2 linked regions of the Arabidopsis thaliana genome follow. The protein of the gene in region 2 purifies or fractionates together with the protein of the main gene of each other region. This does not show direct contact. Each region holds a gene or a part of one and is shown on either strand. Other genes may lie near its edges. The genes, in order: XK-2 and AAE3.

Region 1 (6,318 bases), on a different chromosome or scaffold from region 2:
TAGGTGTTCGTTGAATTCTCTTGTTTTTCCTCAAATGCTCATCCTTGATATCTTTTGTACCATTTTGTATCCTTCTAAACCAAGAATTGGTATTTGACTCAATTTCAAGAACTTGTCAAGTTTAGCATTCAACTCCTCAAACCTTGTAAACTTTTGAATAGTGTCTCTTTAAGTCATAGCACAACCTTCCCCGTGGTTCCCATCGCTATAATTTGAGCTAAATTATCCCCTAGTAACTATTTTCAACTTAAATTTCCATTTAACTTACCATTGTTAGTAGTTTGCTCCTTAAATTTCCATTTAACTTTGTTTGTATTGCTCCCTTACACTCAATTCTTATGTGTGAATTGAAGCTTGGGAGCAAACTTTTTACCATAATCCCATTGATGATATTTGTCGTTTGAGGAGAAAGAAAACAATCTCAACTTAAAAGTGTCTTTTGCAATCTTATTGATGTACACATAAACGATTAAATTGGTCCAAAACTTAAAAGTGTAACAACATTAGTGTCATTGAAGAGTTGTATTTTATATGAACAAAACACCACTTTAAAAAAGTTTATTTTCCATTAGATCACAAAATTTATGACTGACTTGTGAGATTCAGACTAGGTTTGTTTTTTCTCCAAGTTGAGAGACTAGGTTAGAGCTAATTCTAATTTTAGGCTGATACAGATCAAATTTAAGTTTGCATTAAATATACCCCTCTCTCTCTCGTGGCATGAAATTTTAATTTTCTGTTTACCGTAAAGAGACTACAAAACTTTGAAATATGTAACCAATATTTTTTTTTCCTTGGGGAGACAAAACGGTGTCTCGAACCGTAAAGCAAAAACGAAGGAAAAAAAAAAAAAACTGAACCAACACCAAAAGTTTGCAACTTTGAAAATGCCTTCTCATCTTCCAATGATCTCTCTCTCTTCTTATCTTTAGCCGTTGCTTTTATATCAAATCCGTTCTTCTCTTTCCATCTCAACACCCATTTGAACAGAGAACCTGAGAAGCAACCGCGATTCGCCGCCGCCGCCGCCGTAATCCATCATCGGCGGCGGCGAGCGGAACAAAGTACCGGACTGTCAGTGCTTGATTAAGACAACATTCTCTGTACTCTCGACATTGATGATGTACGCGACAGTGACTGAGAAAAGAGATTTGGGTCGTTCCTATGTGAAAAAGGCAGACAGGTTGGAGCCAGGCATAATTGATTTCTATATTTTAATTTGACTAAAAAAAATAAAAAAAAAATCTACTTTTTTGTTTTTGGAGTGACATTTGCGAATGGGGAAGAAGGAGATGAAGATTTAGCTTTTTTTTTGTTCTTTGAATTTTTTCAACCAGAAATGTAAAATCTTTATATCATTTCTTCTGCAGATCATTTTTGTCGTGTTTATGTTCTTTTTTTCTTTCTCACTCTTTGAAGACTACTAACAATTTATGGCCTCTTCTGATTTTGTTTGTGTCTCATTGTATGTAAGTCTCTCAATGATTTAAGTGTATGACATAAACTAGATTAAGAGCAATGTCTTACGAATCATTTGTTACTCAGAGATCGTAAGATCGTATTCTGCTTTTATTTTGAGCAACAAGCAAACTTGTCTTTTAGTTTTAGTAGATAGAACTTGTTATTCTTTCAACTCTTTAAGTTATTTGAATTATTGAGTAGTGAGTTTTTTTCTTCTCAGAAGTGGCCTAACTTCTCCACAAGCTTGTTCTCTATTTCCATCCTCTTCTTCATCAACAAACCATAGGTGGAAGCAATGTTCGCGTCTCCTGCTTTTACCTTGAGCTTGCAGTTCAGAGATGTTGTTTCCAATTTCCCTTCGTAGAGATTTGAGATTGGTACAAAGCTTCCTTTTTTGTTGCAGAGCCAGCCATGAGCAGCTCTTAGTGCAGCTCCAAGTGATGCTGAATCTGTTGCATACAAACAAACACTTTGTTCAATCTATAAAGGAGATCAAGCAAGTATAAGCCGCAACTTGTTTTGTATGTTTCAAGAGTTACCAGGCCTTTGGACAGTATATACATCACATCCGAAGATTGCTGAGATCAGACTCAAGATATTCTCGTTAGCAGATGCACCTCCGGTTGCTATTATTCGGAGGGGAGGGGAGGGCATACCAAATCTCTCAGTATGAGCCCGCTTTGAAAGAAACTGACCTTCAATCAATGCCCTAACCTGACAGCAAACAATACATTGGGATGAAATCGAACTATGTAATTGCCCTGTGGATGTTATAGAGAACAGTGTATAAGCTTGCTTACCTCTGAGGGAGGGTCGAACTCACCGACCTCTTGTTCCTTCACACCCTCAAGAGACTCACCAGAGAAGTTCTCAAGAATGTAACGATGAGAGCCAACTAAGCATTGAGAAAAGCATTAGTAAAGCAAACTTACAGCATGTTGCTGAGGCCAATAGCATGGAAAGGAGAATAACTCAAGCAAATACCGGGAAGTGGGGGCAGAATTTCATTTTCAGTGTAGTAGAAGCCGAGTTTCCCATCTAATGGATCCAGTAGTGTATTTAGAAAACAAAGAATCTGAATATATTATAGATGGACACCTGAAGGATAATGAAATAGCAACTTACTGTTTAGTGGCTGTGTTTGCTGCAAATACTTATTAAAAACATCCCAAGATCCCTCAGCACAACGGTCACGAATTTCTGAAATGGAAATTCACATTCTTGATTGTCTCTGAGGATCAAACAAAGCACATAAGAACAGATAAGAGTGGGAGTTTGCAGTCATGAGTACCTTCCCGGGTGAGAGAAGCATTCTTGTAAACCAACATCACCATATAACTCTCAGGGTCCACAGGATTAGGTAACACATGACCCTCAAGACTGGGTTGAAGTTCTTTGGTAATCCCAAATACCTGTAAGAGTTTATAATGTTCGACATGTGAAATGGTAAGAACACTAGTCTATATCTGGATTAACTAACTAGCAAGCTCGACAAGAATCAAGAGCCTTGCCGTGTCACTGGTTCCAAGACTGATCGCCAGATCTCCAGGAGTACTAAGAGTTAGACCTGCATGACATGGTATAGCCTCATTGGTACCTTGTAATTCATATACAAACACAGACAGAATCCAGTCGCAAGATACACTCTCCATTTCATCATAAATGTCGCAGTTGCTACTCAAAAGCCCAAGTCAATAACAATTTGAAAATGCATAGGAACTTCTCCCCAAGCTTATGTTGTTGAATATGTACCTGCCAAGCTATTAGGATTATCTCCCGACCACTGCACAACCACACAGTTCTTTTCAAAACCGAACCTGCAACATAACCAAAAGAATCTCTGAATCTGACATGTGAAAGTGCATATCATATCCATCCTGATCACAATCGATACTAACCTCTGAACAAAATACTGAGAAATAGAACCAGCAGTAGCATAAGCTGGAGCTAACTTCCCAAGTTTCTCCTCCAAACCTGTCGCTGTAGCCTGCAAACAAAACCTATCAACAAACAACCATTTTTAAATATCTAACTACATCCTCAAAGTCACCCACAACAAACCTCTAACGCAGCTTTAGACCAACAACGTTTCTCAATATCCATCAAATTCATCCCAGCAGCATCAGTTTCATCAATACAAGCATAATCTCCAACCAACAAAGACGCCATAAAAGAGCTAACAAGCGAAATCCTCTCCGTGCTCTTATACACCTCCCCCTGAGTCATAAAAAGCTTCCGTATCTGCGGACCAGTAAACCGCTCATAAGCACGAGAGCCAGTGATCTTCGACAACTCCATAGCTCCACCAACAGCATTCTCAATCTCTTTACATTGCAATGTAGTACTACTATCCATCCATATAGGAGATTCCTTAACCGAAAAAGCGTTTTCGAGTTGTTCTTTCAATGATCTCTTTGAATCCAATGATCTCAATACCTCAGAACTACCTTTTGACCAATACACACTACCGTGTTGTTGCCCGCTGCCTGAAACAGCGATAACTTTGGCGAAATCGAAATTGGCGTTAGAGAGCTTCTGGAGAATGAGATCAAATGCTTCGACCCACATGAGAGTTGGAGATACGATTCTTCCGTTTACAGTAGTGTCTCTGTAAACCCCGTCTTTGGTTTTGTATTGAGGAAGATCAGAATCGAAATGAACGAGTTCGGTTTTGATAATGTTCAGGTTCGAATCCAACACAGTTGCTTTCATTGACCTTTCAATGGAAACAAACAAGATTCAGATCGACCAAACTAACGAATTTCAAAATGATCGAAGACTGATTGTGATCAAATCAGAGAGATAGCAACAATAGTAAAGGAAGGGGGACGTACTGGGTAGAGCTGTCGAAGCCGAGGAAGAGGGAATCGGGAGGAAGAGAGAGATCCGCCATTGTTGATTGATCCAAAGTTTTTCACAGGTTTAGAGGAAGAAGAAGACGAGAGAGAGATGTGTCGTCGTTTTTATAAGGTAGGATCATTTAAAACAGACACTAATCAGTATTTTGGATAAGAGCGGAGGTCATTAGTCATTACTCCGAATATTTAGTGACTAATTGTTATCAGATTGTTGGATTTTGTTTTCTAACCTTAATTAGTTATCCACGTCATGTACACAAAATAAAAATAAAAAATATTTCTAACAAATCATGAGTAAATTAATTTATATTGTTTCGTTTAGAAGAATTTTAATATCAATGTAACGCAAAAAAGTTTTCTATAACATAAAAAGGTTTGGCTCTACGGCCTTTGAGAGGCGATTTTTTTAGGTCTAGCCACCACCAAACTTTTCTTCTCAAATTTCTGACGTTACCTTTCTGATTATCTGGTGCCCTTGGCCGGAGTCAGAGAGGGTGTGTCTGTTTGTCTTTTATTTGCTTTTCCTTTGTTTTGGGTCTTCTCTGGCTCCTCCTATGGCGGATTAAAGACGAGATTCTAGATGGTTGTGCTTCGATTGGAAGGTTGGTTCCGTTCTAGTGATGGTGTCGCTTGGTTCTCCGTGGGTGGTTGGTGTTTTTGTCGGAGCCCGTGTGGTTCTTCACTGTTACGGCAGTTGTTTTTGGAGATGGAGGTTTGGTTTCTTCATCTTATACATACCTGATCTAGTGGAAGCTATGTAGTCTCGATTCTGTCTTAGGCTAATATTAGGTTGCCTTTGGTTGGGTAATTTAGTCTCTGCTCATAGTTTGTCCTTGGTTTTGCTAAGTCTTGGCTCGTTTGTGTTAATTTTCCTAGTTTTAGGTTTGTTTTGTTGCGTTTAACCAATTGAATTAGCTAAGCTCAGAGATCCTTCTTGGTTTGTGTTTTGCGCAAGTCAGTTTCTCTCTGGTTATGGAATTGCCTTTATGTCCTTTGCTCTTCTGCTTTGCTGGGTCCTCTTGGGCGTTTGGTGGTTTTGTTTTTGGCTAGGTTACGGGTTGTGCTTGTCTTTTGGATGGTGTTTCGTTGCAGCGTCATCTACAAGCTCCTTTCTAGCTTCTTTGAGGTTTGAAGTTGGGCTACAGGCGTCACAGTGGAACGATCACATGTTCTTCTCTTGCGAGGAGGTTACCAGTTTTTTGTTGGTAGATGGCTGAAACTGGGTCGACGAGTGTCCGCGTGTAAGAGCTGTTGGTCTTCTTTGACTTGTCTCAAGCCGAATCACAAGGTTTTCTCCTTGTTCCTAGCCTGTCTCTTTATCTCCGTCTGCTATGGTGTGACTTGGCTCTAGTGGTTCATGATTCCTTGGTATCGGGTGAAGCCTTTTGCCTTCCTTGTCGGTGTTGCGATTGGTTAGGCTTTGGTGTTGTGTCTTATCTGGTCTTCCTGATGCTATCTGGCGTTCACAGTTTCTATAGGAAGGTTTAGTAGGCTTCTCTTTGGAACATGTGGTCATGTTTAGTGCATTGGTTGTAGACTTCTCTTAGTGAGCTAATTTTTTTGGTTGTAAGTTGGTTCCCTGTACTTTAGGGTTATGTCTCCCTCGTTTGTTTCTCTCGTTTGAGCTTTTGTTTCCGGGGACATCTTGTTGTTCGCCGGCTTTGTCTCCCGTTAAAGTCGGGCTCTGTTTCCTGTTAAAGTCTCTGGCTAAGTTTCCGGTTTATCCGGTTTTGTAAACATGTTTGGCTTGATTAATAAAATTCCAGTAACAAAAAAAAAGAAAACGCAAAAAAGTTAATTAATGTGAAAATTTTAAAAATATCTCCTACCGGATATTCTCTCTATTTTATTTCGTTTTCCAGTATGTTTTGGCAGTTTTCAAGTTTGGATGAGATCCAAATTTGCCATCCAATATATCTGGTTTATGTCACGGTTTTGTCAGTACGTATTTTCTTTTAGTATTAAATAATTATTGCAAGAGTTAGTGTTGTAGATTCGA
Region 2 (5,515 bases):
TAAACAACACAATATACTGTACAATAGCTTTGCTCTCAGAACCATCTACAAAGTAAAAAAAAAAAACATACAAAATTACTTTCATTGAGTTCTCTATTTCTGTGTGTTGCTACTAATCAAACAATATAGAGACTAACCAGGAGGTTCAATGGAGAAAGCTTGAACACAATTGTGCTGAATCAAGAGATAGAGAATATCTTTAACTTTGTTATGGTTGATATCTGATTCAGCTAAACGAGAGATGTCTCGTGAGGAAAGAGGTCCTTTACGTAGAAGACATTCACAAACTTTCTGCAACCAAAACCAAATTCGTTATACAGAGATTATAAATTCAACACAAGTCTCAGAAGGGTTTCTCAATTTACCGAGACGACGGAGCCGAATTGGACGGTGATGATATGGATGGCGTAGACAATGCCAAACTCAGACATAGACATGAGAATCAATCACCAGGAAGTCTCTCAATACTGATGAAGCAGCCTCTGCAGAGCTTGACGGAGTTATGGCCGATATAGAGATGTTTGCCAATCGATTGTAGCCTACTACTACTAAAAAGCGAAGCAATCGTAATCTAGCGACCCTAAAGTTTAATTTTTCCAGCGATCCACACGTTCGAATCCAAAATTTCGATAATCTAACATGAACCCACCAATATAAGTATAAGAAAACACCAACCCAGGGCTAGGGCTTTTGTTTTTTATAAGGACTCGGGCCGGCCTTAAATATTTAGCCCATTTTAACATCCCTAATTGTAGGTTATTAATTGTTGGCCTAGAGAAGTTTGGGCCTATCAGGCCCTAATAAATTGAATGTATGGTTTGACCCAAGAAAAAAAATTAGTGATGGAACGAAATGTACTTGAGAATTTTCAATGATTGGGCCAGATGACAATGCTCTACTTAAGAAGAACAAACACAAACCAAATTCTTCTATTGTATTTGTATGTGACGGCTTACATGAAGACCATGTTTTTACTTAGTTAGGAGAATGGAAAATGACTTTTTCAGCTTCATGAATATGACTTATATTTTAAAACACTGTCGTTTTCATCTATACGAGATTTTTGTATTTCTATTCATAATCATATACATAATTTTAATCTTTAACAAATAACAAGGTAAACTAAATCTTTGATTAGTAAATTCTACTCTGACTCTCTTCTAAGCTACGCATGTTTAGTGGTTTAAATTAGTTTCATTGTTGAATAATTATCCAAATCCACTATTGTTTAGTTAGATAGTGTGCATGTATCAAACCAAATAAAATAATATAATAATTTGTATGTATAGACAAAACAAAATTGATTACTTCAAAAAGATATATGTCTCATTATATTTAGTCTTCTACTTTTTTTCTATAAATAATATATTTATTCTTATCATTCAAAGTCATTTTTACCATTTCTTATTTTAATTTTACATTTTTACCTTGGTCAATTTAATTTATTAACAATCAAAATAAGGACGTTATCTTCTATTTATAATATAAAGTATAAACAACGTCAAGCATCTTCGAAACGTGATAATCCTAGTCAAAGACACATGTGCAAAGGCCCTAAAAGTGATTAAACACTCATAGGCTATTTTTTTAATGAAACTATTCTTTTGTTTGATAATACATACACAAACTATTTCAAATTCCTATGAAATAATTCATAAACCGTAAATTACTATCGCATGCTTGCCGAAAAAAAATATTTTCAAAAGTTAATTAACTAGCCGTTTCGGTTCAGTGTTTGTACCGGAATCGAAATTAAAAAAACCACCTCTTCAAAAACCGAAACGTCGGTCTAATCGTAAGGATATATATCAGCGACTCCCACCGTTAACAAAATAATTAAAAATGAAAACATTATGACCACACGATCAATAGAAAATCCGCTACGATGATAACACGTGGCATCATCTTTTAGCCATTTTTTGCTTCCACAGATACTGTAGTAATTGAATATAAATTTATAAATATCGCATTTGCTCTCTTCTCTGCTTTCACATTCTCTCCTTCCTCATCATCGTTACTCTCGTGTTTATCTCTCCGACGTAACCATGGATAGCGATACTCTCTCAGGATTATTGGAAAACGTCGCCAAAAAATTCCCCGATCGCCGAGCTCTCTCCGTTTCTGGAAAATTCAATCTCACTCACGCGCGTCTTCACGATCTAATCGAACGCGCCGCTTCACGCCTTGTCTCCGACGCTGGAATCAAACCCGGCGATGTCGTTGCTCTCACCTTCCCTAACACCGTCGAGGTATTTTAAGAGGTTTTCATATATTTCGATTTAAAAGCTTCGTTTCTGGTTTTGTTTTGCGTGCTGAAGAATCACATGGGAAGCAGAATTTATGAATATCTGTAAATCGCTTCTTAATTGAGAAATTTTGATTTCCGGATTCAGATGATTTTTTTGGATGAATTTGGTTTTGATTTTTTTTTTTTGTTTTCAGTTTGTTATAATGTTTTTAGCGGTGATAAGAGCTAGAGCCACGGCGGCGCCGTTGAACGCAGCGTACACGGCGGAGGAATTTGAGTTTTACCTCTCCGATTCAGATTCAAAGCTATTGTTAACCTCTAAAGAAGGAAACGCACCGGCTCAAGAAGCAGCTTCAAAGCTGAAAATCTCTCACGTCACCGCTACGCTGCTTGACGCTGGCTCGGACCTTGTACTATCCGTTGCGGATTCAGATTCCGTCGTTGACTCAGCGACGGAACTCGTTAATCACCCGGACGACGGTGCTCTCTTCCTCCACACTTCTGGCACTACGAGCCGTCCAAAGGGTGTACCGCTTACGCAGCTCAATCTAGCTTCATCCGTCAAGAACATTAAAGCTGTGTACAAGCTTACTGAGTCTGATTCTACGGTGATTGTTCTCCCTCTGTTCCATGTTCATGGATTGTTAGCTGGGTTGCTTAGCTCGCTTGGAGCTGGTGCTGCTGTAACTCTTCCAGCTGCTGGTAGATTCTCAGCAACAACATTTTGGCCAGATATGAAGAAGTATAACGCTACATGGTATACTGCTGTGCCGACCATTCATCAGATCATATTGGACCGCCACGCGAGCCACCCTGAGACGGAATATCCTAAACTCCGGTTCATCAGGAGTTGCAGTGCTTCTTTGGCTCCGGTAATGCTCTTGTTTCCAGTCAATTGTTGAGGCGTTTGTAATGCACAGTGTTTTGTAAAACGTTGGATTGCTTTGGCTTTCAATAACTTAATGACTTATTTTGTCTTGGTTTTTGTTAGGTGATATTGTCCAGGCTTGAGGAAGCGTTTGGAGCACCGGTGCTCGAGGCCTATGCAATGACAGAGGCAACACATTTGATGAGCTCAAACCCCTTACCAGAGGAAGGTCCACACAAGCCTGGGTCTGTTGGGAAACCGGTAGGTCAAGAAATGGCGATCCTTAATGAGAAAGGCGAGATCCAAGAGCCAAATAACAAAGGAGAGGTTTGTATAAGAGGTCCAAATGTGACCAAGGGTTACAAGAATAACCCAGAAGCCAACAAGGCAGGTTTCGAGTTTGGGTGGTTCCACACTGGTGATATCGGTTACTTTGATACCGATGGGTATTTGCATCTGGTGGGTCGGATCAAAGAGCTTATTAACCGTGGAGGTTAGTCTCATTTACTCTATTTTGATGGCTTTACTGTTTCACAAGAATACTAGTCTATGTCTAGCAGTTTATTTGTATAGTCTCGGTGGAGGCTACTTTGTGCAGTACTATGTTAGACTTGTCAAAGAAAACCCTCCAACAAATTAGAAATGAGACAAGACAAAGAAAGAGGCTACTTTGTGCAGTATCATGATCTTTTGTATGAATGAGTTAGATTTTCTATGTGTACTTAATTATAATCTATTTCAGGTGAGAAGATATCTCCAATTGAAGTGGATGCAGTACTCTTAACGCATCCTGACGTTTCTCAGGGTGTTGCATTCGGTGTTCCTGATGAGAAATATGGGGAAGAGGTAAACAAAACCTGTGCTTAAATTGTCTCTAATTTGAATTTATGAATTGGTCTCCCTTATCTACCATTATGTCCTGCAGAATCATCAAACATCATGTGAACTTACTTATCAATGAGCTGTTAATAACGCTGTGTTTCCCTGGTTTATTGGTTTATCAGATTAACTGTGCGGTGATTCCAAGAGAAGGAACTACTGTAACCGAAGAGGACATTAAAGCGTTTTGTAAGAAGAATTTGGCAGCTTTCAAGGTGCCAAAGAGAGTGTTCATCACTGATAACCTCCCCAAAACTGCCTCTGGTAAGATTCAGCGCCGTATCGTCGCACAACATTTCCTTGAGAAGCCCTGAAACACACAGAAAACACCATCTTGCTCGAAAATCATCGGTGATGAGTCCTAGTTTTCACTTTTCACGCAAATGGATATGCGTTCTCTATTATTGGTTCTTGGTTTAAAAGTTACTTTTTATATGTTTCATGGTGGTAAAGGTTATAGATTAAATCACAAAAGTGGAAATAAAAGTCGATAAGTGATTATTGAAGTACAACAATAAAGGAGAGTTTCTTTTTGTTGGTGTTGTCTCTGCGTCTTTTTGTTACTGATGCTCTTGATCTAATGGCCAATTTGACAACTAAAAGCGTACTGCCAAAACGGGTAAAGCCAAAGGACAAATATTACATTGTCACTTTTTAAAGCGTTTGGTTCGTTGAACAAACCGACCGTTTAGTGGGACAGGTAGACTTTCACTATGTCCCAAATTATGTTCCATTCCATGTTATAGCTAACTAATTCTGAACTTGAGCTCCAAATTTGAATTTTAAAGTTAACTTTTGTGATAGAAGAAAAAAAAAAAAAAAGTTAACTTTGTGATTTCAATATAGAACTCAATACGAGGATAAAACATTTACCATAAGGATTTTCCTAGATTCAGGCATAGTCATAGAGATATAAGATCAAACCGTACAAAACTTATTTACTTTTATTACCGATTAAAACTTTGTATCGTCGAATTCACTAGACAGAATGGATTAGTTAAAATTCTACCAAAAAAACGGAGAAGAAAATAAAGATCGCATGTTTTCTAATTTATACTACTCGATACAATTCTGACAAGTGCTTTTACTCTACACACCAAAACTTTATACGCCAATCTAATTTTACGAACCGGTCTTGTTCTGCTTCCTCCAGTACTTACTCTCCCACTGTTCGATTCTACTAGTCGTACTCTGTCTCCTTTTCAAAACTGAATAAAATGATGCCGGATCATACGGAGGCGGCATGGCGCAGGGACCTGTCTCAGCTGGGCGTTTTACGAGTGATTCCATCATAAACTTTCGTTCATTTCCATCCCTCGGGCATGCCATTGCCTCTGAGCAGAGCTCAGTGGAGTTCTGAGGGATCTCGGGTTTAAACCGGAGGAGTTTAGAGTATTGGATTAAGAGATGAAACATGTAATCGTACACATAGTCCATCTTGAGTTCTTGTTGCACAAACTCACTTGCCTTCTTACCTATGTCTTGTGCCTGGTAAGAGAAAAGAACGGTGAGAGGGTAAC

Evidence for each region.
Region 1: the proteins of AAE3 (region 2) and XK-2 fractionate together in Arabidopsis thaliana (co-fractionation; one large-scale study listed by BioGRID). This does not show direct contact.

Annotation. Positions count from the first base shown.
Region 1 is NC_003076.8:20,150,934-20,157,251, reverse strand, and holds XK-2 (xylulose kinase-2), read right to left. Parts: upstream 4,522-6,318; 5' UTR 4,355-4,521; coding exon 4,296-4,354; intron 4,178-4,295; coding exon 3,523-4,177; intron 3,449-3,522; coding exon 3,360-3,448; intron 3,279-3,359; coding exon 3,214-3,278; intron 3,029-3,213; coding exon 2,973-3,028; intron 2,874-2,972; coding exon 2,753-2,873; intron 2,662-2,752; coding exon 2,587-2,661; intron 2,500-2,586; coding exon 2,446-2,499; intron 2,357-2,445; coding exon 2,262-2,356; intron 2,176-2,261; coding exon 2,001-2,175; intron 1,911-2,000; coding exon 1,678-1,910; 3' UTR 639-1,677; downstream 1-638. Other genes in the region: AT5G49645 (uncharacterized protein), read left to right, coding at 5,677-5,736; AT5G49640 (uncharacterized protein), read right to left, coding at 5,623-5,835. UniProt on the Arabidopsis thaliana protein: Mediates 1-deoxy-D-xylulose (DX) phosphorylation in the cytoplasm prior to the translocation of 1-deoxy-D-xylulose 5-phosphate into plastids. Can also phosphorylate D-xylulose (Xyl). Uses preferentially ATP as cosubstrate.
Region 2 is NC_003074.8:18,157,825-18,163,339, reverse strand, and holds AAE3 (AMP-dependent synthetase and ligase family protein), read left to right. Parts: upstream 1-1,853; 5' UTR 1,854-2,045; coding exon 2,046-2,249; intron 2,250-2,442; coding exon 2,443-3,120; intron 3,121-3,239; coding exon 3,240-3,609; intron 3,610-3,858; coding exon 3,859-3,962; intron 3,963-4,120; coding exon 4,121-4,309; 3' UTR 4,310-4,775; downstream 4,776-5,515. Other genes in the region: AT3G49000 (RNA polymerase III subunit RPC82 family protein), read right to left, coding at 1-45, 138-291, 366-437; AT3G48980 (O-glucosyltransferase rumi-like protein (DUF821)), read right to left, coding at 5,118-5,483. UniProt on the Arabidopsis thaliana protein: Oxalyl-CoA synthetase acting exclusively against oxalate. Follows a two-step reaction mechanism, wherein oxalate first undergoes adenylation by ATP, followed by a thioesterification in the presence of CoA to yield oxalyl-CoA.